Linked DNA regions of Styela clava. Each later gene encodes a partner of the first gene's protein in a complex. Links are inferred from orthologs where the notes say so. Each region holds a gene or a part of one and is shown on either strand. Other genes may lie near its edges.

What was found.
Region 2: coiled-coil and C2 domain-containing protein 2A-like (region 1) and uncharacterized protein LOC120345914 share a complex: the UniProt entries of both Homo sapiens proteins name them as parts of the tectonic-like complex. The link is inferred for Styela clava from reciprocal best matches to the Homo sapiens genes CC2D2A and AHI1.
Region 3: coiled-coil and C2 domain-containing protein 2A-like (region 1) and transmembrane protein 237-like share a complex: the UniProt entries of both Homo sapiens proteins name them as parts of the tectonic-like complex. The link is inferred for Styela clava from reciprocal best matches to the Homo sapiens genes CC2D2A and TMEM237.
Region 4: coiled-coil and C2 domain-containing protein 2A-like (region 1) and tectonic-like complex member MKS1 share a complex: the UniProt entries of both Homo sapiens proteins name them as parts of the tectonic-like complex. The link is inferred for Styela clava from reciprocal best matches to the Homo sapiens genes CC2D2A and MKS1.

Annotation. Positions count from the first base shown.
Region 1 is NC_135259.1:2,067,110-2,074,818, reverse strand, and holds the start of coiled-coil and C2 domain-containing protein 2A-like, read right to left. Parts: upstream 3,023-7,709; 5' UTR 2,982-3,022; coding exon 2,635-2,981; intron 2,223-2,634; coding exon 2,110-2,222; intron 1,753-2,109; coding exon 1,680-1,752; intron 1,495-1,679; coding exon 1,381-1,494; intron 1,179-1,380; coding exon 991-1,178; intron 1-990. UniProt on the Homo sapiens protein: Component of the tectonic-like complex, a complex localized at the transition zone of primary cilia and acting as a barrier that prevents diffusion of transmembrane proteins between the cilia and plasma membranes.
Region 2 is NC_135257.1:13,083,318-13,090,700, reverse strand, and holds the start of uncharacterized protein LOC120345914, read left to right. Parts: upstream 1-4,381; 5' UTR 4,382-4,495; intron 4,496-6,688; exon of another isoform or gene 6,689-6,749; 5' UTR 6,750-6,910; intron 6,911-6,987; 5' UTR 6,988-7,125; coding exon 7,126-7,181; intron 7,182-7,383. Other genes in the region: uncharacterized protein LOC120345286, read right to left, coding at 1-29, 110-212, 296-358, 858-1,055, 1,969-2,058, 2,415-2,541, 2,908-3,025. UniProt on the Homo sapiens protein: Involved in vesicle trafficking and required for ciliogenesis, formation of primary non-motile cilium, and recruitment of RAB8A to the basal body of primary cilium.
Region 3 is NC_135253.1:6,409,888-6,417,813, reverse strand, and holds the start of transmembrane protein 237-like, read left to right. Parts: upstream 1-4,907; 5' UTR 4,908-5,885; coding exon 5,886-6,169; intron 6,170-6,684; coding exon 6,685-6,875; intron 6,876-7,109; coding exon 7,110-7,267; intron 7,268-7,740; coding exon 7,741-7,883; intron 7,884-7,926. UniProt on the Homo sapiens protein: Component of the transition zone in primary cilia. Required for ciliogenesis.
Region 4 is NC_135257.1:11,288,052-11,295,302, reverse strand, and holds the start of tectonic-like complex member MKS1, read right to left. Parts: upstream 3,007-7,251; 5' UTR 2,623-3,006; coding exon 2,546-2,622; intron 25-2,545; coding exon 1-24. Other genes in the region: rifampicin phosphotransferase-like, read right to left, coding at 5,048-5,106, 6,515-6,692, 7,121-7,251. UniProt on the Homo sapiens protein: Component of the tectonic-like complex, a complex localized at the transition zone of primary cilia and acting as a barrier that prevents diffusion of transmembrane proteins between the cilia and plasma membranes.

The DNA.
Region 1 (7,709 bases):
TAAAAATCATGATAGTTAGCATTATGCTTCATTATGTTCTAACAATGCAATTGTAATCGATTGAAAATGCACTGACAAATGATAGAATATGGATCAATTTTTTCATACATGTATATATATATATATAGAGATAAAAAAGTATGAGGCGGTCTATATGTAGTGAAAAAGCAGGAATAAAATTTTTACGTGCTATTGTACGTTTCAAAGAGCCAATTGAGACTTCTTGCCAGGGCCTAACTCGATCCTAAAAATACCCCTAAAAAATAAAAATCATACTTTTTTGTGTAAACTAATAATTTTTTTTACAACAAGATTTTTGTATGACATTTCAAAATACAAATTTTATATCAGCTAGATCCAATTTCCATAAGTTCAATTAGTGCGACGTAACGCATGAATCCACCCAATTTAGCAGAATTTTCGAAATTTGTCAAGTATTGATGTGTAAATAGAAATTTGAATTCACTGTTAAGTCTCAGCTTTGCAATTCAAGACATAAATTTTAATTCCAGATTTGTAACATCTAAGAGTGGTATAGAGGTTGGGGTTTCATTGAAACTTCCATTAGGGTTGCTGCGCACATGTTTGGTGAGTTTACCATTTCTTGTGAATAACTTTGACGTCATCACGTCAAGAAATGGAAATTTAATGAATGGAATCTGCTGATAGCAAGCCATGAAACTTTTAAATAAACAAGGCAACAAACACACTATAATATCACCCAAACTAAATTAATTTCAGCCAATGTACATGAGTTATAATTTCAAGTGTTTCATTGCTTGATTAAATTTTAATATTAAAGATTTTCCAGAAGATCTTCTAAAAATCTGATATGTCATCGCTTTTCTGGTCGTTTGATAAATTTTCAATGAAGCTTATTTCATTACCGACAACTGCTGCATTAATGATAATAACATCTGAGCAACAACTGTAATTCTAGTTAATATTTATGTAGAAAATAAATATAGAAACAAAGAAATAAAAAATAACCTGCTGCAGTTTCAGGTTGATCTTCTACTACAGGAGCCTGTTCTATTTCTTCTTCAGCAACCTGCTCAGCATGTTCTTCTGTTGTTGCAACATCAGGAGATTCAACTTCAGGTTGCACCGTTACTTCTTCAAATTGTTTCGTGAAAAAATCATAACAATCAATATCGCTAGGTTGACCGATTTGTTTCCTTGAAAAAAAATAAATAATTGGTTCACAATTGAGCATGAAGAAAAGATGAGACCTTGACTGAACACCTTGAAAAAAAAAATAGATAATCGGTTCACAATTGAGCATGAAGAAAAGATGAGATACTGAGCACTTTACATTTTATATCCAAGAGATAGCAGAATTATCATGACTAAAAGTAAGGTAAAACATTGGTAACATACCTAGCTTTCTGTAGAACCTTCTTCCATTGCAATTTCGCCAAAACTCTGGTTTCCAATTCTCTCTCCTTTTCTAAATCAGGTCGACTGAGAGTACGCAATGGATCAACATCAAATCTGTAAAAAAATTTAAAATCTTTTCATATTCATATATGACAAATCGAAAGTTGTTTATTTGAGCTTCGGTATCCATGCGAAAATAAGATTTCCAAGATATCCATACGTGTTGCGTAAATTATAACCATAACTTATTTTGAAAATGAACAGTCTTTGCAATTTCATATCTAAATTCAACAACTGACCTGGTGCTCGAGTCTCTTAGCCTTTCTTTTAATCTTTGAGTTCTTTTTCTCTCTTCGCCCATTTGAGAAAACTCTGAAATATATTTTCATTGATAAAAAAGACAATACAATAGTGAATAAATCATTATATTTGTCAATGTTTTATCAAAAAAAAATTGTTGTTTCATTTTTCCCGTGTGATTGGTAACATCCCAAGTGTTTTTATCATTATTATTATGCCCTAAAAAGGTAATCTGGTGTTTATTATTGGTCACAAAAAAATTATAATGTAATATTCGAAAATTTAAATTACCTTTTTCACTGTTAGATAAATGTACAATTTTAATTTGACTTTTTGGTGTACTCAAAGGAGCTTTAGAGCTTTAAAGGATGCAAATAACCAAATATTAATGCTAAAGTAAATAAACCTTATGTTACTCATGCGAAATACCTCGCTTTTGTTTAGCCGCCTGAAGCTTGGCTTGCAATCTATCACGCAAGGACATTCCAGCAGATCGAGTGCCAAATGTGCTGTTGAATGTGCTTTCCAAATCGGATTGGGGACTGCAAAAAATAATTAGAAAAATTATCAATATTGGCATTACACAACATATTCATTGAATTAAATTACCGGTATTAGATAAAACTAAGCCATAATATGTGCTTTCCAATTCGGATTGGAGACTGCAAAAAATAATTAGAAAAATTATCAATATTGGCATTACACAACATATTCATGGAATTAAATTACCGGTATTAGATACAACTAAGCAATAATATGTGCTTTCCAATTCGGATTGGGGACTGCAAAAAATAATTAGGAAAAAATATTAATATTGGCATTACCCATATATTCATTGAATTAAATTATTAGATATTCCTAAGCAATAATATAGTCGGGGTCATGCCCTTCAATGATAATTTGAAATTATTGTCAAGTCATATCTATTCAGTACACTTTACGGAGGTAAGTTACCGAGACAATTCCTGAGACTGGCCAGGTGACATAGCTGGTGTGATAGACCTTGGTGATTCTTGTAATCTTGAAGTAGGAAGTCGAACATCAGATTGAGGACGAAGCATTTCGGAAGTTTGGAGTCTTTTACGTGTAGCATCATGACGAGATTCTAGTTTCTCAATCAAACGACTAGTCGATGCTGTCTCCTCATCTCCAATAGTAGGAATATCAGCATCACCATCACTGTCATCATTATTGATTGTAGTAACATCAAGTGCTGTTGAATCAGTTGTTTGCATCGTTATATTCATTGCTTTTCGTCTTTCTTGCAACTTTTTTTGTAAAGTATCCGAAGTAGAATCCATGTTTCAACTTTTCAAAAATTACAGATGATAAGAGACACTACATAAAAATATTATCACAAATTTAAAATAAACATTCAATAGGATGTTCAACAGACCTCTCAGTATCACTACCCTATAGTTTGACTACGAAGTACGAATAGGCGATATTACCGGCTTTTCTCTCTCTGGGGATAAATATGTAATTCATATCCTATCCTACATACTGACATTAAGACATAACTTGGATATAGTTCAGAACTGTAGAACAGTGTTTCCAGGTTTCTTTACTCTGGGCCTGGGGGATGCATATTCATAAATTTAAAGGGATGTCTGTAACACATGGTCTATAGATGGAGCTTTATGAAGCGTATCTTGTTGCTATATGCCAGTCTGTCGAATACGATACTGAAATATGATAGATAAACACAATGACAATTTATTATCAAATACAGAAATATGAAATGCTAAATTGACACCACCAACACTTGAACTTTTATGACAGTTTGATTATTTGCTGTTTAAGTTATATCTAATACATATTGACATCTCAAGCCTGAGTAATATTGAATGGCAGCAGGAGTCTAAGTCCACCCAGCAAATTAATTGTTGGAAAGAGAATAGGTTAAAGTGGTACGCGGTGACAGTATGAACACGAAGTAGTCTAACTCTAGTGTTTAGAGTTGGGGTCGGCAAACTTTTTCATGCCGAAGGGCAAAATTACCGACTACCAGTGCCGGTAGTCTGATTAAGCTATTTATGCCCATCCTGATTAAATCATAATCAGGCCGTGTAGATTTTAGAGAAAAAATAAATGGAGTATCCTTCTAACGACTTCTTCCGTCTCCAAGTACTGAAAATATCAAACTGATTGTTCAAACACGATTTTACATATCGCTGTGTTATGGACAACACAATTTGGTTAAATACTGGTAACTATTTTTGCAATTTGGAGGGTCTGGGGTTGGAAAAGACAGCTGACAAGTCTGAAAGTGGAAAAGCTGGAAAGTGAATACAACAGAGTTGTGAAGAAATGTACGACTTTTTGCCACAGATATTCCACTCATAACTACACAAGCCAGTTTAATTCTGTAATTTGATTTTTTAACTCTGTTGAACTTATATTTGGCCACTTCATGAATGGTATTAATCAGCACTTCACCATATCTCAGGATGTCCTGTTCACTTTATAACAAAGTTAAGGACTAAAGAAGTTTCACTATGAATAGTATAGTATGCTGGGCATTGCTGGCAGGGAATGGAAATTTTAAAGACACCCACAAATTTTCCAATTGCAAGTGTGCTTTCTGTTTAACATGGTTGTTTGTATTGTGTTACTTTTGATAAATATGCCTTGAATTGTTCATCTTATTTTAATGGCAAAATTATCTATGTTGTATTTTTTATGAGCTTTGGCAATATCTATTTTTTCCTCTTCTGCTGCCAATAAGTGGTTATGTACCGCCTAAGACATCAGCATAATTTGAATTTTCTACTGTAACATCAATGTTTCACTGCTGCCCATGATATTTCTTTGTGTGTGTAATTGAGATTGCTTTTATTGTTTTAATAAATGATTCTACACCTCCATGCAGCCATGTTGCCTGCCAATATTGACAGTGTTTGGATATTGTTTTGGTAAATAGTTCCAATGTATATAGCTTTTTTGTGTATTTTTTGTGTTACTAGTCACTAGGTATTTTCTTCTAACATTGGCACGCATTGTTTGGTATTTGTATTCACAGCTATTTCAAGCTATTGTCACTTTCTATTCCCACTTTTATTCCCACTATTCAAAACTTCATGCTGTTTTTCAACCATGTATTTATTTATCTGTCTTGCACATTTGATAGGTTTTCGGTGATTTTTTTCATTTCTGACAGCAAGCGATGTCTCCCATAGATTTTGACTTGTATATTTCTATGCTATATAGGAATCTCAGACCCAAAATTTACAGAATTCGAGATCAGCTTTATTTATATATATGTACTGCAAGGCTAATCCTGGTGATTTCTCAGCTACCATAATCGTATACGAACATTTGAAACATCTATCAGAGACGGAGGAGGTCGTTGGGATTCTATTACACTTAATTTTATCTACCTGAATTTTGCTGTCTTATTTCAAGCGCAACACTTATTTTACTCCATGTAAATTATCCACTGATTCAAGCAATTATTTGGCTTTTATCATTTTAAATTGAGTTGTAAGCACTGCCCGATTTTGAATCGTGTCCAAATTTTTTGTTTAACGTTACTCGTATTATTCCTATTTTATTTTTGGTGGGTGGGCACGTACTTGTACGTTTTTTAACTTTATTTTAAGTTATGCTCTCTTTTAGGTATCTCTGTATTTGTTGTCTGTTTACTTTTTTGTATTGTTCCGTTTTAGTCAGAGACCCGAAATACAATGATTGATTGATTGAGTACAGGAGTATGAAGACAAAATGGTGGATGAGCTGACGGATTTTATTTAAACTATACTTATTTTTGTTGTTGAAAACATACTTATAACTGCCGGTACCGGTAGCTATAAGCCTATAACTGACAAAACTACAAAACAAGTCAATGTCCAGTTGAATGTGAACAAATTTGCCAGAAAAGTTTGAATAAAAAAGGTGGGTCTATCTGCAGATCTGCGCACTACTAAACTTTCTCATTGTTTCATCGGCGTATACCGGCCTTCTTTTAAGTTTATATCATTCTTTACTACGGAGTATCTAAATACAGTATTGAACTATGGAGAAGCAAGCCTGTGCTATAACATTTTAAAATTTGTTTCCAATGTTTACAATTATATTTGTATTAACTGCCCGCTAGGTGTCACTTTCGTTGCTAGGCTACAAAATCAAAACCGTGTCGTCTGCTAACCCAAAATGTCAGGATAAAAATAAATAAATGCATAAAAAATCAGGTACCTGAATGTCAGCAGGGAAATGTTAAAATAATTGTTGGCACATCGTGCGCCGTCTAAGTGATAGGAATTACGGTACCTGATGAGAATATACATCAGCGGTCCCCAAAGTGGGCAAAAACGTCCTCTTGTGGGCGTTTGCTATAACTTGGGAGGCGCTGATGGCGATTTAGGCGAGTGGGGGGCGCTGGCTGTCAAACTGGGCGATTGGGGGGCACTGACATCAATACGGGAACTCACAAAAAGTGTGATATTTTATGTCATTTACTCCTATGTTTTGGTTCAAATTAGTTTGTTTGTGATCCCGGTGTTGGAAATTTCACGCTTAACGTAGAATAGGTATTATGATTTTTTTAAATCTGTATTGTTGTTTCATAATAATACCAGTCTAGCGCATACGGCATATGCTTCTTTCACCATGCACTTAACGTTTCGTTGTACTGTATTGAATTATAGCTTCATTTTACTATCGGGTTCTATGGTGCTTTCAAGCGGTAGTGTAAGTATCCTACAACACCCATGTTCTAATTCTGGTTTTGTTAAGAGCAACATGTGAGAGTTGGGCATCCGATTGAACTGACGTACGCCAGATAATACCATCTCCATGTTGCGACTTAACTGGTTAATTTTTATTTCTTGCGTCATTGAATAATAAGGCTACATACCTAATACTTAAATCGACAAACGGCAAACATCTAGCCTTTTGTTATATCATGTTGTGTCTGACACTGTTTAATGTCGGTTTATCATTTGTATTTCGTAAGTTCAAACTATCAAATACAGTGACTTAAGCAGCACATTTAACTGATTTATATTAAAAACAGTATTATACAGCGTAGTCCCCAAAAAACGGAACCATCAATTACTTCTACGAAAATTGAGTGAATTATTTAATTTTGTCTACATTTGAACTTCTGTTTACGTATGTTTGTACCCAAAGGTGTCGGAAAATCTAGGACGTTTTTCACAAAAATTATGTTGTTTCTAGAATATGTTCCAAATGGTTTCCTCGGCATTGAAGAAAGAATTGCATTTATTTTGCAACATTGTCAATCACTTTTCTTTGGGTATTTTTCTATTTTATTTCTGCAATCGTTTGAGGATTGTCTTGATACAAATTGTCTTTCGAACACCCTACATATCAAAATCTGAGAGGTTTCAGTCCGATAATTGAGGTGTCCACTGGATGTCATTGCTGACTTTTCTCTCAGGAAAACAAGCGTCTGATTTGATATATGGGGGGTCGCCTCGTCATGCTTGAACCCCTGCTGGTTGCCTCTTTCAATATCTCAAGTAATGTGCAGATTTTTCCTGGCACAACCACGTAATCTTCTGTAATCACCGTTTGAACTCTTTCATTTCCATGTCCTAACAGCAGAAGGTGCGCTTCATCGTAAAATAGGGTTGCCAACCGTCCCGGGATGGCCGGGACAGTCCCGGAATTGACGTCAGGCGTCCCGTGTCCCGGGCTGGACTACTGTTGTCTCGGAATTTACTGGCAACCAAGGCGTGCTGGAATATAAGGCCATGTAAGCGTGTCACACTACTATTTTAGAACGCCACTGATATCAGTGGATTTAGAATTGATTACTTTATTTTTGTAAAGAGTACAAGTTTGAACTTAAACATTTGACAGGAACTTCACTTGTGGTAAACAATCATTAAATTACTATCGTTACGGGTGTTATAGGAGTTCTTCATTATCTTTTAAACAATTTATAATCTCATGTCATCTTCACAAACCTGCAAACCGAGTGTGTAGAGCAAAGTGATTCTGATGTAGAATGTAATGTGGAGGATACATTGGAACAAACTCCGCCCAAAAAGAAAGGCAAACTT
Region 2 (7,383 bases), on another chromosome or scaffold:
ATTTTACGTTTGTTTTCTTCTTCTACCTTCTGAGAAAGTTGAAAGAAGAAATATAGTAGTAGACTTAGTTGTGTAGTGTAGACTCATTTATTTACTAAATCTGCCTGACCTGCGCTGCTATTCTCTTGATATCCAACTTTGTTTCTTCTATTTTTTGCTGAATTGACTTTATCGTACTCATTCGCACTCTTCGTTCAAGATATTTTTTCGCACTATGAATGAAAAATCCACGTCGTTAATGAATAATAAGCACAAATTTTGAACCAACCACATTTTTCAATGATTTTCAACTTACAGTGAAACCCCCCATTCATGTAAAGTCTTGAACTTTTGAGCATTTTCGCATTTTTGTTGTTCTATTTTGAAAAAAAATGGTAGCGATTATATTTACTGTAACATATATTCGCGAGATATAATAACATGTTAAAGTCGTCGTGTTATCAGCAATACAGTAGCTTGTCACAATCATAAAAACGTTCTATATTGCTGGCCACGCCACAAGCTTTGTCGACTCTGGTATTTGGAAATTCGAGGATGATGTAAAAAAACAGTATATGGATGGTCATTTGGGGAGTGTTTTATAAAATATATAGTTCGGAGATCGTGTATTTTCTGATCCCGCAATGGCGCAAACAAGATAGATTTTCATATGAAATTGACATATTATATGAAAAATTTGTGATTACCGAAATCTTTTCTAGATAACGTTTATTCAGTAACCTATAACAAATGCTGAATTACCGGGAAACAAAGATCGGGTTAATAAGTTATTTCAAAACATCCCATCGTAAAATATTATTCAAATAATTACTTATTCAAATTTGAATGAATGAAATAATATTATAATTCTCTTTCCTGCTCTCAGCTGCTCCAATGAAACAATTTCACCGTCAATAATATCAATTTCTTTCAAAACATCAGCCTTTTTTATTTCCATTCTCCGCGTTTCGTCTTGCAATTGCATTAGCTCCGATGCACCCGGAAACGACTTGTAAATTCTTTTATAATTTTCAAGCTTTTCCTCCTGTCCATTTATCTTTTGTTCAAGTTCCAATCTTAAAAATATCCAATACATAATTACGTAAATTAGTATTATTCAATTTTATTGTCTTAACTAAAGGTTTGATCTTAACAAGTGTTCTGCTCTCCATTCCGGGCTCAAAGTATACCTCTGAAGTAACCAAAACCACGGATATTGTGAAAGAAATTTCAATTAATATTGTGAAAGAAATTTCACAATTGGTATTCATTTATTTAAAAATCGTTTGTATTGAAGTCAGAGATGAAACTCAGATCGGGTCATTTCCTACAAACTCTCTTGCAAATATGATTTCATTAGACCGATGCGTATGCGGACCGATGACCGGATGAGCGCAACTTTCAGTGAGGAGCGAATAAAGTGATGTACATAAATATGGCAACGCGACTTTTATCATAAATAGAAATTTGATAACGCAACATCCACAATTTCGAAAAATATTGTAACTGCTAAATGTGTTAAAGTAAATTGTATTCAACATGATGTTATCTATACGGCTATGACTTATTTATGCTTCATTGTCAATAAAATCGAAAATTCCTTCAGGGATGTCCGCGCCTTATAGGCTGTTAGTCCGCTTCTTAACGTTGTATTACAACTTATGGATGCAATTTATTAGGAGACGTTTTTTAGAAAATTTCACAAATGCATCTCAGAAACCTTTGCCTATCACCTTTTAATACGACTACTACAATTTATATATTTAAGGCATAAACGAATTAGGAAGGGTGGAAAATTGAACTGCGTGATGATAATAAAATGTGATCAAAAAACAAATATATATTAACAGAAACTTCCCTATAATTTTCTAAATATATGTGTGTACAGTATATCATTAGCGAAGATATTGGTTTCTGATCCACCAACCAAACAATTCTATTCCTTCAACTTTATATCGGGTCACATATTCTTAAAGTAACAAAGCGAACCTTCTTTTGGCCTTTTCCTCTACTATTTTCTGCAGCTCTTCAGCTTTTGCATTTGTATGTTCATCCAAGAGTCTATCATTTTCCTTTATCCTTCAAAATATAAAAAGAAACACTTTTTGTATATTTTCTGGTTTATAAAGTTTCTCAAATATTGGTCTCATCCATCCACTCCATCCAGGTTAATAGTAATTAATCGTTTTTTGATCATTTGAGAAAATATATCATTGGTTCTGTACTCAGTAACAAAGTCTTTTTGACAAATTCTCTATTCTGCAGGTGGGTATGATTTAGTTAAGTCTTATGACTCATGTTAACATTCTCTTATCAACGGGAGCAAATAGTTCCGTAATTTAGGGAAGTAAAACGCAATGAATTTCTTCAATACTGTAAACAACTGTTATGGTCATTTTGTACGCGTAATACCAATATTTATAACAGTACGCAACCTTTCGAGAGTTCGTTTCTGATTCACATAAACTTCGTGCATTTGTTTCACAGCCTCATCAAGCTCTCTTGTTTTATCTTGAAATATATGAATCCTCTCTCTTTTACTCCACAATTCTTCCCGAAAACCTAAACAAGTGGGAAAAATTCAATCAATGTCTCGTCAACGGAGAAACCGATTTGGCTCATACGTTGGTAAGTAGGAAAAGTTCAAGCCAAAAGTATCAATTTTGACAATGTTAGCAGCTTGTTAATTTGAGCTCCGATCTGCAAACTATTGAACTAAATGTGCATTTCATACCAAAACCCGACAAGACATTGCGTCTATTCTAACGTGCCTTGTTGGCCCTTCCCAGGATAAAATTGACGGCCACATCCGACGTAATCGACTTAGATATAAATTATAGAAAGGAAGAAAACTTTCGAAGCCCGCAAATTTTGAGTCAAAGGAATTAGATTAGACTATTTCGAAGATACCGGTAGTGTTAGACTTACTTTTTATTATTTCTTCTTCCTTTTTTATTTTTCGTCGCTTTTCCTGTACATCTGCATTGAGCTCATTTAAAAACTTTTGCAACGCGGAAGGAGCACCGCTACCTGAAAACATAGCCATGGCTTTTATAAAAGTGAATTAGCAAGTAGGCAACTCCTACGACGACGTCAATGAATGGTGTCTATAATCATTATGACATCCTATACGTAACAATGACCATTTAGCAATAAATCAACTTCGTCGTAACAATGCCAATTTGTGCAGTCGCTCATAGACACTTCTTTCGCTCAGACTGATATTCAAGCAGGGTTGGTTGAGAATTTTTCAAGCGTCAGGGAAACGTCCATGAACCTTTCCCCCAGCATCGACTTCCTCGTTTACTTCGTGACATTGGCCAATCAGCGAATTGCAAAAAGTGACGTAACAATGCTCCCTTTTCGCATCCGCTCAGACACTTTTCTCACTCATACAGATTTTCAATCGTGGTCGTAAACATTACCTAGTTTTCGCATTTTTGAACTCTATTGGTTAGTTTTCAGTTGTGTTTTGGAAACTTAAATGTAAATCAGATAATTCAATGGTCACCCTGTCTTCCTAGGAGTTTTAATTTAATTGCAGTTATAAAAATTAGTGTAGAAATAGCTGTGATAGACTAGGCTAAAATTATTCAACGGTACTTTTAAAAAACAGATTGTTGTATGCGATGAATCATAATGATGGTTTGAAACACATACCCCATTTCACAGGCGCCAACTCGCAAAAGCACTCTTAAAATAGCCTCAAAAAATTTCCTCTCTCCCGGGATAAAAATTTGCAAATCCTAATCTACCTTCCTTGTGACTAATGTATATTAACCATTTTTTCACATTCCACCTTTGAAAACAGCACTGCGTCATAGGGTGTCACAGCTCTACACATAGGGTGTCATGGCGGTGTGGCTCATCGTACCAAGCGTTAGGATTCATAAACCTCAATATTAGGAATACGCTCGCCACCGCACATGGATGGTTATGTGCGAGAGGATTGCTGGACTCCTCGCCGTCGTAGGGTGGTTCACGTAACCGCTGGTCGGTTACGGCTTCCTCCACCACCAAGTCCGTGCTTCCGAAAAAAAAATAACTAACTAATCCCATACCCGACATGGAATAATACGGTAACTGGACGTGGCCGTGGTTCGCCATATGGTCAAGCCGTCTTATCGACTTTCCTCTCTCAGGATAAATATTTAAATCCTATCATAAATCACCCCTGTAGTTTTCTGTCAATCCCTTCACTCGTGAGTAATGATTGTTCATATGTATGTTTGATTTGCACATGGTGATGAATGAATACTAGATGCAGTAGTATTCATTCATCACCATGTGCAAATCAAACATACATATGAACAATCATTACTCACGAGTGAAGGGATTGACAGAAAACTACAGGGGTGATTTAGGAACCGGATTTGAATCCGAACGCCAACAATCCCTTACAAATCAATGAAGCATAGTGTCGTATATAAATACTTTTGAACAATTTTCGTTTCCAAGTACGCCATCGTTCTGTCCGTCGACTCAGGAGGAAGTTTTTAGGCATTCATAAATCAAGGTAAAATCAGTATACCAGAATTCTTTGAAGTATTGGAAGAAATATTTGAAAATTATCAAATAACAAAAGACATGAAATTGGGATATACTACTTTAATTTATAAAAAGGGAGAACCAGACCAAATAGAAAATTACAGACCAATAGCATTATTGAATACAGACTATAAGATCTTTACAAAAATATTGGCAAATAGGTTAAAAAGTGTATTACCTGACATCATAGATAGACATCAGTATGCAATTCCGGGAAGAAGAATATCTGAAAATCTCATTTTGTTGAGGGATTTATGTACTCAAGAACATAATAAACATGGAGAATCGAATCGATAGAGGAATTCGTCAAGGAGATCCGTTAAGTTTATTTTTATTTATCATAGCAATTGAACCTCTCCTAATTAAAATTAATTCCCATAAAGAAATTATTGGCTTAAAAATACCACACAACAGAGAAATTAAACACATTAGTTATGCAGACGATGTCACATTGACTCTATGTAACAAAAGCTCTGTATATTCTGCAATGGATTTGATGACAAGATTCAAATTAGCAACTGGAATGAAGTTGAACATAGAGAAGACTAAACTTTTAAAATTAGGAATATGGAGCAATCCTAATTTTTTTTCACAAGTACCTGTTGTCTTGACTTTAAACATACTTGGAGTGGTGGTTTCAAATCATGATACCTGCGATGAAAACTGGCAATACTGTTTAGATAATGCAAAAACTGTCATAGATGAACTTTCAAATATTCCATTATCATTAGATGGTAAATGTCTGATAATAAAATTGAAAATTCTACCTTTGTTTTTATACTGTGCAAGATTATATCCCATCCCATTAAAAATTGCAAAACAAGTGAATGTTTATATTTAACAAGAAAAGTTTATATTTAATGGCAGAAACATATTGAAAATTGAGACACTGTGCAAAAACAAGGCTGTTGGAGGCTATGACATGATAAATATTCCTTTACTATGTGTTTATATGTAATGACTGCATTCGACTATTATTGTGATAGGATTAGTAACAAAATTGAGTATTGTAGACAATCAGCATTCAATATTATTGAATATAATATTGGACAACAACTTTGTTTATTACTTAATATACCGATTAATAATAATGTGACACATGCTTTTTTTCCTTATAAATATTATGGAGAGTTGCTTAATTTTCTTAGACAATATAACATAACCGGGGATGATTTAAAACAAGGAAAACATAGGGTACTATATAATAAAATTGTGAATAAATTGAAGGGCGGAAACAGAATTGTATTTCTTCGTAATGGTACAATTGAAGGAGCCTGCTCTGAAATACATTGTAAGATATTGTCCAATAACATAAAAACTTTCAATTTTAAATTAATGTGGGATATTCTTTCTGTTAAAGTAAAGCCCAGAATTAAACATATTTCTGGGAATGATTTATGTGTGTTTTGCACACAAGAACCTGAGTTTGTTTCTCATTTATTTTGGAAATGTCCTTTTACGCAAAATGTTTTTGATTATATTTTTTCTGTTGCATTAAAAATCAATCATTGTGTACTGAATAATAATTACATGACTTGTATTTTACTAGATTTAACTCACCTATGTTATTCACATTTGTCCAAAATAGAACGGAATGCTATAATATTATTATTTTGCACTGCCAGACACAAAATTTGGCTTGAAAGGAATACAGTAATTTTTCAAAAAGTTAATCCAAATGTTAGCAATGTAATCATGAGAATTAAGAAGTCACTTATAGCAAGAAGAAATATAGAAAAGTTGAGACAATATCCTAATTTTACAAGAGAACTAGATATCATTTATAATAACTTGTGAATTTTTAACGATGTGATATATAGTATCAAAACTAATAGATATTAAAATTTTTTTTTAATAATTAATACTAAAAAATATAAATAATGATCAAACATTATGGATTATGGAAATTACATGATGGACATATCAATGGCAATGGGATACTATGGACAATACAATCAATGGACTGTAATGAAATGCTTTGTTATTTTTGTATACTTGTTGTTGTTGTTGTTGTTCATATATTATTTTATGATTTTTATATATTGCATAAACCACATTGTGGAATCATAAAAAAAAAAAAAAAAAAAAAAAAAAAAAAAGTATACCTTTGTGAGTTTTGTTCATAATACCAGGCATTCATAAATCAAGGTAAAATCAGTATACCTTTGTGAGTTTTGTTCATAATACCGGGCAGGCCAACAGCGCAAGCTTGTGATTTGCAGGGCTACGTTAGGAATTCACAACTCATACTATTTTCAAATTTTGGCCAGTATGCATGGTATGGCCATTCAGCGATTGGCGACCATGGATCAGATTCCTGAATTCCGTGTCTGTCCTGCTTGGGAATGATCATTAGTAACTGGATAGACTCAACTGATTCAGGGTATTAAATATTACTGTATTATTTCTTATCTTCAATTGCAAATACAGAAATTAAAACTGCAAAAAATATTTTTACAGCCCTCTAAACTGTTAAAGCTTTTTTGAACACTACAGAACTAAGTCTGCAAGTCAACGTTGGTAGGCTGAATTTCTTGCTTTTGGACATAATTTGAAAGATATTTGGGAAGAAAATTTGTAGGCTTTTATAATAACAGAATGACCACTGATCAGACCAGACAAATTTTTGAACAACTTTTAAAAGATACAGGAAGGTAACTACATTTTCATTCTATAGAGTTAATGGCTGCCTTCTTTGTCAGCATCATTATTTCTCAGCTACTAATCCATTCATTTGTTATATCTTTAGGCAGTTAGGGTACATCTATGCCTCTGGCAAACTTGTGATGTTATAGTCTAGTTATTTTTCGACGGCATTGACTAATAAATTATATTTCATTCATTTATTCTGTTTAT
Region 3 (7,926 bases), on another chromosome or scaffold:
AACACTCATTATTTGAAGTTAAAATATGTGTGTTCAATTTATGTTTTCATACCGACCTTACAATTTCAGGGTGGTATCGTTCACCAGATATCTTTTTTGCCGAAAGTTTTAGTTCCTCAATCAAAAATTTTCGTTGATATGGCTGTATGGTGTAAGTTGATTCTGATTTTTGAGATAAATCATTACCTATTAGTCAATTCATATCCTTGCTTACTGCTACACGGCATAAATCCTCACACTACAACTTTTTTATGATTCCTTTCTTCCTGAAAATATACATATTAGGTTACTACATAATATCTTGATTTCTTATCAAAATTTACATTCCTCGACAAATCATTTCTGTATTGGCTACCTAGGACATTCACAACTTACTCTTTTTATGCTTAACAATCGTAGCACAAAGTGATTCTCTACTACATCTACTCATTGGAGCCTTGAAGCGAATTTGAAATCTTCAGATCTTACTGTCATTTGTCAACATGCTTTTAAGTGCTAGGACCGGTTCTAGGGCCTTCCCTCTCAAATGATTGCTCTTCTATTTTGTTTTGTAATCTGCATTCTATAATAAAATCTTTATTAAAGTTGATGCACAATTAATTTGAATATTTATAAAGCCACTCACTTAATCTTGTCGTGAGATAACGCCGTCAGAACACAGAAAAACGCACGATGATTTTGGAAGCAATAATCTGTCTGCGCCTAGTCGGGCGTGACGGCGAATCCAACATCGGGACAAATATCGGAAGTTACACGGGGTTGGTCAAACCAGAGACAATGCATCTTTGGTCAAACCGTTCAATTTAGATTTTCACCAGTCGTTGATTTGCACTGAGCAATGACATTAAACAACATGATGCGCAACTCCGGCATTTTTGTCCGAAGATCGTATTCGATAGCACGCTCCAATGCACATACTTGACGAGACGAAAACGAGCGGATGTGTGCTGCTTTCAAGGCGTAGCACGAATGGTGTTCGTGCCTGTTTTGACAGTTGTTGTCGATTTTAATGATATTTTTGAAAGTTGGGGTAAAAAGAGATCGGTAAAAGGTAAGGTGAATACTATTGTTGTATATCACACCCGGGCATCGCACTGTTAAGTACATGTGGGAAAGCCAGCCTTTGTCAAATACTACGAAGTTATTAATTCAGTACGCTACGTAGTTGCCCATTTGCCGAAATTACATATTTACTTACCCCTTATGGTTTCAAATAGTTCATGCACCTCCAGTTAGATTTTTTAATCAGTGAGGATATATACTCATTGTTGATTGCTGCTCATTGTAACATACTATTACGCATTCACTTTTATTTGCGTATTGAATCAAAGTGTTAACAAGTTCACCTAACATTTCACTCATACCGGTCTATGTTGTATAGTCTGATTTCTCAAGTATTTGGAGCCACGAATGCTTGTAATTTTCTGACTAAACCCTTTTATTAGTTGGTTTATATACCAAATTCAGTAAAATATTTTTTAAATAAAACATAAGATATTGGATTTATTAGCTTTTCCATTCTGAATCATATAGACTGCTTTATTTATTCCTAACGAAAATTAATAAATCTCCTCTCTTTCTTCAGATGTGAAAGTTGTGGACAAACCTGTCTAAGCATTGTGAGACTCTTGCAGCACAAGAGGCAATAGCAGAAATAGTAAGTATATCAATCAAGAAATTAAGCCGACATAAAGCAAAACTTTCAACTATTCGTCTAATTTCAAATTCCTATTATTTATTCACAGGACAACTATAGCAGACGGGGAGATATCAGAAGTCTGGCGACATATCAGTGACAGTGTGATTCCAAGAAATATAATGGATTTGAAAATAGAAAATTGCAATAGAAAAACAACCTATGGAGGCATGCAAAGACATTTGACCCTCCGGTAGAGTTGTGTATGGCCCCCACATCCTGCAGGGCTTGAGGAAAATAACTAAAAATTCCAAAGCGTAAGATTGCATAAGCGGTCTTATTTGTAAAAAGGCACAAAACACGCCAGACATACTTAAAACAGCTTTGGAAATGAGGATTACGGGTACCTCACTGCACCTGTGTTATATTTGGTTCATCAACTTTTGGTAGTACTATAGAAGAAATTCCGGAAGGGGTATAATCATCATTCATGATAAAATACTATCATATATTTTTTGAACAACTTCAATCTAGACCAGGGATCTCAAACTCGCGGCCCCAGAGAACTTCCAGTGCGGCCCTCGAACGTTTAACAATAATTGTAATAGTATTTTGGAAGTTTTTTTATTTTTATCTAAATGTAATAGATTTTTCAAACCTTCTAAAGTGAAATTGATTATTCACACAGAAAACAATTTACTGAAAGTAGTTTTGGAATATTGATTTTTTTTTGTCCACATTTTGACCCAATCAAGAATACACATCAAGCTAGCAAAAGAATACTTGAATAAAACACTTGAGTAATTAAATTAAACGCAAAGTACATGAAAAAGGTGGCATTTTCGAAGAAAATGGGAGTTGTAACATTTCTGCTCTTCACAAAATTCTGAAGCACATTGTTTAATTTGTCATATTTCCATCAATACAATCAAAAAACACAATAAGCTAAGCAGTCAATATGACAAATTCGAAGACCAACTTCGAACAGAAAATTTCCATGTGTTTGTATATTAATATAATTATACAACGACTTAGTTACTAAAAATCAATATCAATAACAATTCAAGCAATCCTATGCCACGCAATGTAGTGCGAAATGTCTTGTCGAAAAAATCTGTCATTTGTTTTTTTACTGATCTATACATGAAATGATAAAAGTAACTTTTTTGCATTACTGGAATTAATTAAACATTCGTAAAGATCCAGATAAATCCATGATCATGTGGCCTCGTTAGTTAGAGTTGGTACTATAAAATCATTTCAGACTGGCCTTAGTATGCTGGTGACACAAAAAAGATGCCAAACGCCAGGACAAATGTAATTATTAAAACATTGAGTTTATACTGTAGTATTTTTGTTAATTTTAGGTTCATATATTTAGATTAAGTTATTTTTAGTGTATGTATTATTCTTTCCTTATTCAAAGCTTGTTCAAAAATGATTTTGATGGTTGTACATAGAATTTTACGATTTTTTATAATAAATACTGTAACTTGCAAATGTTGCAATAATAGTGGAATGCAAATATTAATATGTAATTGCATTTGAAATTGAAGAAAATAATAAAACTTAATCCAACTGTTTAGTTGCATCACAAAATATGTCACAAACTAACACTATCTTAAAAATATCTTTTAAGTATACATTATCAAAAACTGTTTGCGGCTCTTTTTACAATTTTCAAAATGCAATGCGGCTCTCGAAAACCCATGAGTTTGACACCACTGATAGACGATTCAAGCATTGCTTTGGGAAATTATATCACTTCAATTAAATTGAAATAATCTCGCTATATTAAATACAAAATCGTTGCTATCATAAAGGTAAACCAATTCAGCCACTCGAAATATACTGGCCTTCACAAAGCAATGGAGGCAAAATTGAGAGTTCATGAGCTATGAACATTTGTTCTTTTCTTTGTCTTGAACTTTCCATACTCCACAGCCCCTATTAATTTTTTTTAATTTTAATTATCATGTGATGGTCATACATATCTTTAATTTGTATTTTCTGTCATGATGTATTATCTCAATGTGCCAAACTATTAATTAGTGTGCATATTTTGCTTCCAGATGACATAAATGTATTGTCATGTTTATTACCTCAGCTTGGAGTATTGACAAGAAAAAGGTGCCAGTAAATTAGGTAAAAAAATTTTCAACTCATTGTTATAATCAGAATTCACAATCAATAGGAATTATAAACAGCCAACAATCAGTGAGAATTATATGCGAAATCCCTCAGAATAAATTTGTCTAAAATCGGAGGAAGGCAAAAAATATAGGTAGTTTCCATCCACACAAGCATTTCAAGAAGACTTGCTCGAGCCAAACTAAATGAGCATCGTCAGGTGATCGGTAAGGCTGCAAGTTGAATTCAGCCCTGCAACCTCCTGCATAGAAGATAATATTAATTAGTGGGCTATGAGCTAAATTCCTAAATTTAAACAAACCTATCTACGATGCATTATGTACCAGCAATGTTACCTACGATTAACTGAATATGTAATATGTCTAATAAATTCACCTACAAATGCAAGTTCGATAGGTGCAAACTTTGTGTTATGGAATTGTATCGCAGCACAGTTTTGTATGAAATTTCAATGATTAAGCGCAAACATTAAAATTACTAACTTTGAACTTTGTCATTATCTGCAAAATGTTCCACACTAATCTTTCCGCTATCGCGTTTGTAATCTTCTCTGATAAAAAAAAACGTCTATGATGTCCAGAATTGCTATTTACAGCTTGCCTGTTATTCCAGCTTTCCAAGTAAGCAAAACTTCTTAGATATAGAGATTATTTTGTTTCGTTACAGGCGCAAAAAGGCAGGTACTATACGTAAAAAAGACGCCGAGTAGCAAGAGCGAGCGGAAAACGGACGCGAAAGGCGACGAGAAATATGTGCATTGGAGCGTATCATGAAATACAATGTTTTGCCTGTAGTCTTATGGAGTGACGTCAGAGTTGCCCATCATGTTGTTTAATGTCATTGCACTGAGTAATGAGATATATATTCTCATTGCACTGTGACGGTCATTCAACAGCGGTTTCGGGCATTAAATTGAGTCTGTAAACTGGGTTTCATCATTGAGTTCTTAGTTGTGAAACGTCGTTTTAGTAGGTAGCAGAAAGGCAAAAAGAGTCGAGCAAAAATGTTGTTCGTTGGGTCAAGGATAGGATAGGTCAAAGGTTAAAAAAACATCAAATAGAATCCCAGGTCAGGTCTCAGCTTTATTTATGCATGAGTTGGTGCTCGGCGACGGGACGCTTCGTGTTGTCAGATTTTTCAAATTCTTTTAACCAATTGATTTAATGTATTAACAGTTTTCTTTTGGAAAATTTAATTTGACATGTAAATTTTGTATGCAAAGATGGATGGTATAAGTTATAACTATAAGTGTAACTTAGAACACAAAGACAGATAGTTCATTTCGAAAACTCCATGTTACACATAGCAGCATAGCTTGGAAATGGAGACCTCTGGAGAGCGAACAGAACTTTAAAACATGAGAAATATTATGTGCCTGCTCACCAGCACACACGCAAAAAGATTACAAAAACACAAACTTACAAGGATTAGGCCAGAAATAAATAAACAATCTATTTCAATGTATATCTATATACAATCAATGAAGTTATACCTCATTCCCTAATTAAAGCCAGTTATTACTAAATTATAGTTGAGGAACCGCCGCAGTTTATAGATTATTTTTAAAACTCCAGAATACATACACACAAATTAAATTGGAGAATTCTGGGAAGCTACGAAAAATTCTAACGTTATATTCTGATATATTATTCTATATTAAGTTTAAAACATAAGAAATATCATGTGCCTGTTAATTAACATATAAGTTTACAATGAATCAAGAAAAGGTACTCGCTGCATTTGGGAATAATTGGAAGCCTATTTTATATCAGTGTATAGAAATATTGAAATTTTCAACTTCCCAAAAATAAATTGTCAGCTTGACTTTGTGTCCAATAGAAGAATACAGTACGGTATATTGTCAAATTAGTTAACTTGATTTTTTGTTATTCAAATAATTATCTCTTCATTCGATTCAACCACAAGAAATTAAATACCCGTAACTAATCATTCTTTACTTTTTAAATGAAGGAAAAGTGCGTACTCCTCACATAAATATTTTCTGGAGGATTTAAAACCCCTTATTTTCCAGTCATCTGAATGTAGAAGATTTTGACCAATTTACAAGTAGAATTTTTTAAAACTTGGATTTTTAATAATGTCACTCAGTGAACCCCGTTCGCTTCCTCCTCGAGCATTGCCTCCACTAACCGCTGGTGCTTCACATGTTGGTGATGGATCACAAGTGCCGACTCCTCGAAAGAAAACCAGACCACCTACCAGCGGAGCAGACAATTCACCCGGTACAGGTTCGAAACGACCTGTAACGAAAACGAGACGCCGAAGAAGTCCAAGACAACAGGATGGAATCGAAACAGGATCTTTACAACCATCTTCAGCAGCGGCCAGTGTAGCTGATGAAACTCAAATGAGTGAAGGAAGGTTAGTGTGAATCATGTACAGACTAATAGATAAGATTAGGAATTTTCTTTCTTAACAAAATGTTTTATACCTTTAGATCACATTAATTAAAGGCAAAATTAATGCTGTCCACAATGGTCATTTGTATACAAGATGTTTAAGACCTCTGACAGAATAATGGTTTTCAGATGAACAGAAATCTTTCACTAGGGTCTGTTTATTTTGAGCGCTGTAACATGTCAAACTGTTGTATTTGAATAATACAGTCTTGTCTAGTGAGCTACGAGTATGTGTACTCCACGTACAGACGTATTAGAGTTCTGGGTCTAATCTGCAAGCTGAAGTACACTTTCTGTTTGGCACTGTCTACTCTATACAACTTATTACATTCTCAGTGAGGTTTGAGCCAAGGATCTATAACCTGTGATGCCTACGTAGTCATGTTCTCACCACCAGTATTCTCATCCAATAGTAAATTTAGTTCTATGAAGTGAAAGGACACCTCGTTTAAAAATTATGATTTCTCTTATGTTTAGTGGACCTTCTTCCACAGCAAAGCCCAGGACAAAAAGAAGAAGAAAACCAGCTGGTGCTAATCAGAGTCCTGGTGGAACAGGAGAAGTATCCACTGGAAATACAGTTTCAGCATTGCTACAAGATGAAGATGTAGTAAATGTTGAGAAAATTGAAGATGCTATAGTAATGACAAACCTTCCTGGTGTTGCCGGTGAGTATATATCTTTCATAACTGTCATAGATATTCATCTAGTTCAATCAAATGTAAACAGATTTTAAGAAAACCTCATTTTTTCTGCGCAAACAAGATTAGTTTATTACACAAGCATTTACTCTATTATTGTGGTATTTGAACTTACAAAATCTTGTATAAAAACCTGTTAAAGCCAGTGGAAACCGTCCTTGGTAATTTTTCCAGTGTTAAAAATGCTGATTTTTTGAATAGCTGGATCAGGTGGAAGTGCGGCAACTGACAAAGTCTATGTACAAACTACCAATGGATTTGCAACACACAATCAAGATTGGTTGAATGACCGTTTTATGAAAAGTATGGGAAGCGAAGCACAAATGACATATGGAGAGGCAACAATGAAACCGTCCAATGTGAGGATTGATAGGATAGGATTTACATATATACCTCGGGGCGGTTACGTGAACCGCCCTATGGCGGCGAGTAGTCCAGCAGTCTTCTCGCACATAACTGTCACTGCATGGGATTCGAACCCACGTAGGATAATCAGAGGTGCGGTGGCGAGCGTATTCTGAACGCTTAGCACGATGCGCCACACTGCCGAGCCTATCCTGCCACCGCTGATCTTGTGGAGTAGAAGTTTTTAGTCTGAACCACTTAAAGTTTAGATTTTTTTCAGTGGCTTGCCTAGAAACCCAATGGGGGGGTGTTTAATAGTTAAGAAATTATGACATCATAATATGACCCACTTGGTTTGCTTTTCTAATTCTATTCAGTATATTTTCCAATCAGAAATAATCATTGTATCTGGACTACTTTGGTCACAAATTAGCTAATTAGAAAGAAGCCTTAAAAGCACTGATAAACATCATAAATTCATTTCCAGATTGCCGAGCAAAATGAGAAAGCATTTATGTTCATTACATTATTACTGCATGGTGCACTAGCTGGATTCTCAATATGGCAGGTTGTCATCAGCTATTCCTTGAATGGTTTAGGGGAGCAGAATCTTCTAACTCAGTATCAAGGGTAAGTATTGTGTATTAAAATAGGATAGGATTTACATATTTAT
Region 4 (7,251 bases), on another chromosome or scaffold:
GGACTGACACGTTGGAGATTGATACTGCAAAACAAGTTAAACTTCTTAATTTAGTTATATTGATTTCCCTAAAGCGGGTAGGTATTTTCCATCAGTTACAAAATATATTATAAATAGAAAAAATTGTTGACTAAATTTCTGATAGGTTTCCAATTGTAATAGCAATAAAAGATGAAAATAATGATGATAATCTTACAGGGTATAATATCAATGGATGAATATTCGAAGGTCAAATTTAAATTATTTTTCGATAAGATAATAATTTTTTTTGAAATCCACCATGGTACAAAATAATTACAATACACAAGACGAAAACACTGGATTGAAATACTTAAAAGTTATGAAAACCTCAAATGAGATTGAAAACATGAGACTTAAAGTACTACATAAGCAATGCCACCTTGTGACATGGAATAGGTAAGTGAAAAAACGAGACTATACTCTGTGTTAAGCTCAGGAGCATTGTGATAATACATAAAAATATTTAGAAAATAATCGGAATAAAGTAAATCAATATACATAGAAGACAAAAAACAAACAAGATCTTGGTCATAAGAGACACATTTAGGACTTCGGATTCAATCCAATATTTAGGAATGCATATTTTTCTTAGACAGCTTGTAAATGAGTAGGTAGTAAATGACATAAATAATAAGATCTAAAACTATTGTCGGACATTCTCCAAAAATGATCAACTCGACTCACTAAAAACTGTGAACTAATTACCAATAAACTTTTCCTCATTCAGTATAGCCTAATAAGCATCATATATGTGCACTTGAATATAAATTTCACTGATATGAAGCACAGTTTAATTATAGTGAAAATCCTATTTACAGAGTTAATTGATTGCTTGCTTACCTCAAGGTTTTTTGTAAATGCTATAAATTAAATTATGGCATAGCATAGAACAGCGGCTCCCAAAGGTGGCATTTGCTAAGTGCGCCAGAAAAATTAACAAAATTATGTTAAACAAATATATGATTGAATATTTGAAGAGATATGTTCAGAGAAGAAGCCGCACATCTCTCATTAGATAAATAAGTACAAATGTTATGTTGTTTTGTTGATATTGCCTTTATTCTTTTCACGTTTACAAACTCCGAAAAGCATAAAATACACAATAACGATCACAAAATTATGTTTTATTCAAAGGCAGCAATTTCGTTTTCGTGTAAGTCATGAAATGAGTTTTTTCCCTGACAATTTGGCATAGCAAGAACAAAAATTTTGGAAATCGCTTGCTTAGGAAATAGAGTAAGAGGCTAGTTGGTACTTACAAAATGAACTATTAATCAGATGAAGTATGTGATCTATTATAAGATGAAGTGTAAACCAATCAGTAAATCTTATCGAAACTAAGCTTAACCATGTCTCGCTTTTGTCTAACTAGTGTAGGATTTTTTAATGGTTAAAATGTTGGGATTGTGATAACGCCAAATTTGATACTCTGTCTCTTTAAGGTAATTTCAGTTATAATAATTATCAAAACAATATTGAAAATATATTTAGGATAAATAATTCTGTTTTTACCCTCTGGAGTTGGGTGGAATATAATATAAAATTATCAGATTGGCTCAATCAAGTAAGAACTAGATCTATATTGAAATTACTATTGCATAATTATAGAAGACTGAAATACCGGGTCTCGTGTAGTTTCGTACCTAACGTACTTCTAGTGGGTGTAGCATAACAATTTTTTGATATGTCAATCCTAACCCCCATCTGACTACGCCATCCAAAAATTAAATCACTACGACATCAAAATCACGTCATAGAGCTTGCCAAATATACGCATGATCGACCGAAATGGCATTGGCGCCGACGATAAAGAACTGACTGACGTTATCGGTCTCTCTCCTATTGAAATCGTTGCGACGAGAAAACGAGAGAAATAACTGTTCGATTTCGCAAGTGCAGTTTTAAGTATTCTGTGGCATCTGCAGCTGCCGCAAAACCATGTCGGTATTTCCATACCATGGCCGCTACGGCCAAACTCATGGCAACTGACTTTTTAGCTGCCACAAACCAATGTCGAGCTGCCGTTACCGCGGCAGCAAATTGAAAACCAATGACAGGTAAAATTTTGCTGCCGTAACCGCGGCAGGTGGGCCGTAAAGACAAGGCTGTCTATTATGGTGACAAATATAGGGTAAGTTGGAACGTTTTTCTGATGGATACAGTTTTGATTGATTTGGGGTTAGGGTTAGGGTTTAAGTAGATATAATTCCACATGATCAATTAAAATCTGGTACATTATTTTGTGAATATACCGTTAATACTGATTACTGAATAGCGCTATAAAACCATGGCAAGAGCTGCCGCGGTTCGTTCGTGGCAGGAGCTGCCATGAAGTGGTAAGAACTGCGCCTCCGATTTCGGGTGCTCGTCTTGGATGGCAGTTCGTATAGTTTGAAGGGCTCTATTACGTCACTGTGACGTCGTAATGATGAATAAATGAGTTCAATAAATAAACACTATTAATGATACATTGGTAATAGAATAGCAAGAGGAATTACAAGAAAATAAAGGATGAAATACTGACCTGAGACGAAAATTTTTAATGGGGTCTCCCGAACGATATGTTGCACCACCAGTATCTACTTCATAAGATTTGTCCATGTGTTGTGAGGTTAAATATCAGTTGCACCAAATAATTCAAAATCGAATAACACGAATAACTACGGTATGTCCTGAAAGCTGGTTACAGAAATACTGGTACTGTCCACCTTGCTTTAAACAGTTTTGTCGAATCCCAGGCACGATAAGTGTTTTGATTGACACATCTCTACATAATATATCAAGCGGTCGAGTGGCCCGGGTCAAATAGATTTGGCGAGGTGATCTTTTGGTCGTAAAAAAGTAAAGAAAGGTTTCAATTTTCCCAATTTTTATACGGCGTAAAACATGTTATCAACCGTGGAAAATTATTCCTGCAAAAATAGATAAACTGCCAGTCCACGTGAAAAAGTGGAAATTATATAAAACTCGTTTTTAAGAGCAAAGCTATTTCTATGTTACCAGATGTTTCTATGTCTATAAAATGTCATGTTCTATTAGTATAAATAAGAGGATCTTTTGACGGTACTTGATTCCCTAGCCAAAACGTGTCTTCAGTCTGAGCGGAGTCGCTGCTCTAAACGCACTCAATTTAAATCTGTTTTATTTTCAAGTTATCTCTTGATATGCATTTTTAAAAATTCATTTCCTTTCCTATTAATTGAAAGTGATTTGTATATCACACGTATCTATTCAGTTGTGCGGAACGTTAGTTGTAATGCAAAAACGCAAAAACCGAGTGTTGATTAAAGTACCAGGTATATCAGCAGAGCACTTTTCCGGATTATGAAGAAGGTGCACTCCCACAAAAAATTCGATAGATTCATGATCGCTAGCGTTTCAGTGCCAATTTCAAGAATATCAGGAGCACAAATTGCCACCGTCCTAGACGTTCAAGGCTTCTTGTCAAGTGCAGTTTCAAGTATTTTGTGGCGTCTGAAGCTGCCGAATAACCATGGTGGGATTTCCAAACAATGGCCGGTATGGCCAAACCACGGCTTCTGACTTTTTAGCTGCCACAAACCAATGGCGAGATGCCGGTACCACGGCAGCAAATTGAAAACCAATGGCGGGTAAAATATTGCTTCCGTAATCAAGTCATGTCGGCTGTAATGGCAGGGCTACCCCTGATGGTGACATATATCGGGTAAGTTGGAACATTTTTTTTATGAATACAGTTTTGATGAATTTGGGGTTGGATTTCAGGTTTAGGTAGATATAATTCTGCATGATAAACTATAATCTGGTACATGACTTCGTGAATATACCGATAATACTGATTACTGAATAGCGCCATAAAACCATGGCAAGAAACGCCGCGGTTCGTTCGTGGCAGGAGCTGCCATGAAGTAGTAAGAACTGCGACTCCTGCTTGTAGAGCAGGGGTCGGGAACTTTTTCAGTCAAGAGAGCCATAAAAGGTACATATTTTCACTGCATTTCCGTGCGAGTCATATAGCATTTTTCACTTAATCAGGCCTGAAATTTTTACTCAAAAGTCAACACATAGGCTACAATGCCAATATACATTCAATGTGACTTGTGAATTGTGATGCTGCATGTTGTCTCTGCGGGCTTTGAACGGCTGCTCACATGCAGCACAAGTTGAAATCTACGATACTCATCAGCCATCACCCTTTTTGGTTTAGGCATCTCCTTAGTATTTCAAAAACTAGCTATGCTAGTCCGATTTAAATATGACAAATACTGTAACTAGTATGTACGAACGGACGAAAAGCTTCATTCTATTACTCCTCGGCTCTATCGCTTTGTGATGTCAAAAAATATGTTCCAGAATCTCCTAGTTTTGTCACAATGCCTGTCTGATAATTCTCTTATATAATATGAATTCTTAATAATCCATAGTCGAACACAATATATAATACAGAATAGATCAAATTTAATTCTGCAATGCCATGCTAAAATAAGGTAGATTTCAGTTATTGCGATATTTTCCCGGGCTGAACCGGCCGATTTGAGACACGAAGCAATTGAGAAATCAAATTAGCAAAAATTCCAGTTTGTTTGGGATCCCAATAAATGATTGAAATACAATGAAGGTAATCTGACTCATTTTTCTGGTCTGCATTCGCAAGACACCCCTCAATTTCCGATCTGCTCCTTTAGATATATATATATAAGTGTGTGTGTAACAGCCGATTCTTCAGCTTTTTGGGACCTGTCACATCGACTGAGGTGTGATTTTAACAAACGAAATACTGATATCCCATATGCTAATATTAGGTAGGACGCCGTATAAATATACTATACAGAGACGTTGGTGTCAGAAATGAAACTTATATTTATTTATTCTATATATAACAGAAAATTAGTGATATCACACGATTGCTGATAAAAGTACAATTATCAAATAGGAGACAGTGGAGTATAAGGCAAAATTGCATCAAAACGGTAATCAAAATACAAGGTCATTAAAAATCACGGATTGAGGTTGAATTTCCCATATAGACGTTGTTAAAAATAAAATATTATTCCGAAGACAATTTCTGAATGATTCCTTTCCCGCCGTCGATCATGATATAATCTCCTAAAAACAAAAACAGTATTTTCATCAAAAGCACTTAATTGGGTAATATAATACAGTAAATGCTTTTATTTTTCGTTATTAAGTGTTTTTTCCTGCACTAGTATATATACCCCGGATGTGGTTCAATGCAAAAATTAATTTTTCTAAAAATATATGAATTGCCACATTAATATACATTTTCTACGGCATTACAATTTGAAATAGTCGAATATCACTTTTTATTGTATACTCGATTAGGTAATATTATTATTATTCTACTCAAAAATTACCCATATATACCATTTTAATTGTTTTCTAGAAAAATTGACCCTGTAAAATCATATAACTAGTAAACAGGTTGATTTTAAGAAATTTTGCTAAATAGAAAAGCATTTTTCATATATATACGAGGTGCGGCTAAAAGGAAACGGGACTGACGTCACAGATTGCGCAACATGATTTACCACCGGTAATCAGCACTTTTACAGTGTGGCGTAATATGTGTTCTTTGTTCAACAGCTGTTTTGACACAATATCGCAATTATTTTTGCTTTTTAGGAGCCATAGGTGAATGTGATTAATTGCTTGTTGAAAAAAATTGCTTTGCGAGATCTGATTGAGTTTTTTGGCGATAGGGGGTTCAATTGCAGAATGACGATTGAGCGAAGAATTAACATTAAATTTTGTGTCAAACTCGGAAAAAACGGCGGATGAGACTTTGAAGATGTTGCGTGATGTTTATGGAGATTTTTCCATATCCAGAGTTTTTAAGTGGCACAAGCGATTTGTGGAAGGCAGGGAAGATGTTGAGAATGATCCAAAGTCAGGGAGGCCCTGCACTTCCACAACTGATACCAACATCAAAAAGGTTCGGCAGTTGGTTCGCAGTGACCGTCGCTTAACAATTCGCGTCATTGCCAAAGAAGTTGCGATGGACAAAGAAACGGTCCGCACCATTTTGGTTGACACTTTGGGAATGCGAAAGGTGTGTGCCAAAATGATGCCAAGGCTCTTGAGTTGACTGAGGAGCCGAAAGCTCAACGATTGAATGCATGCCGATTTGACATGCATTTTTCCAAGTTTGACACACAATTTAATGTTAATTCTTTGCTCAATCGTCATTCTGCAATTGAACCCCCTATCGCCAAAAAACTCAATCAGACCTCGCACAGCATTTTTTTCGACAAGCAATTTATCACATTCACTTATGGATCCTGAAAAGCAAAAATAATTGCGATATTGTGTCAAAACAGCCGTTAAACAAAGAACACATGTTACGCCACACTGCAAAAGTGTTGATTACCGATGGTTAATCGTGTTGCGCAATCTGTGACGTCAGTCCCGTTTCATTTTAGTCGCACCTCGTATATATATATTAAATTTGAAAATGGCACTGTTTATGGTATAATTTGAGTATATAAGATGGTACCCGTTTTGAAAAGAATTGTTGCTTTCTTTGCACTGACAACACACGGCAGTCCATATTCTCTGGCGACGACAGCGCCATGTGATATCAAACCTCCGATTTCTGTCACTAATCCTGATATCAATGGAAAATACGGACTCCATCCAACATCTGTTGTCCTCACAATCAGAATATCACCTTGCTGTAGGTAGAAAAAATCACATGTTAACTAAGACTCAAGACCTCTTGGTAGAGTATAAATGGGCTATTATAATTGGGTAGGGTGCTAAACACAAATTGGGATATTCATGGGCGGTAACGAGAAATGCGAATTCAAACGCAAATATTACTACGTACATAAGCAGGAGTATTACCAATACCAGCACATATAATAATTTATGCCTTATGGCATAAATGCGAGCATGCAATTGTTTACATCAAAGACATCTGAGTTTATTATATATAAAATAAAAAACGTATGGAGGAAATTTGGTTAGGATATGTGTGCTTTGACTCATTAAAATGGTTTTCCTAGAACCACACTTTCATGTTTTTTTGGATAACCAGGATATACATGTGTACAAAAATTGATTTCAAGAATTGTTGGTAAAAAGAAATACCATTGCCCACCTTAATTTGATTCGCATGTTCCAAAGATAAAGCCACTCTTGCGGTTCCCTTAACCACACCGTGACTAACAGGAAACCCCGTAAGCTTAAGTCCATTTCTCTCCTCTTCAACTATATCGTTCTCTTGCGAAA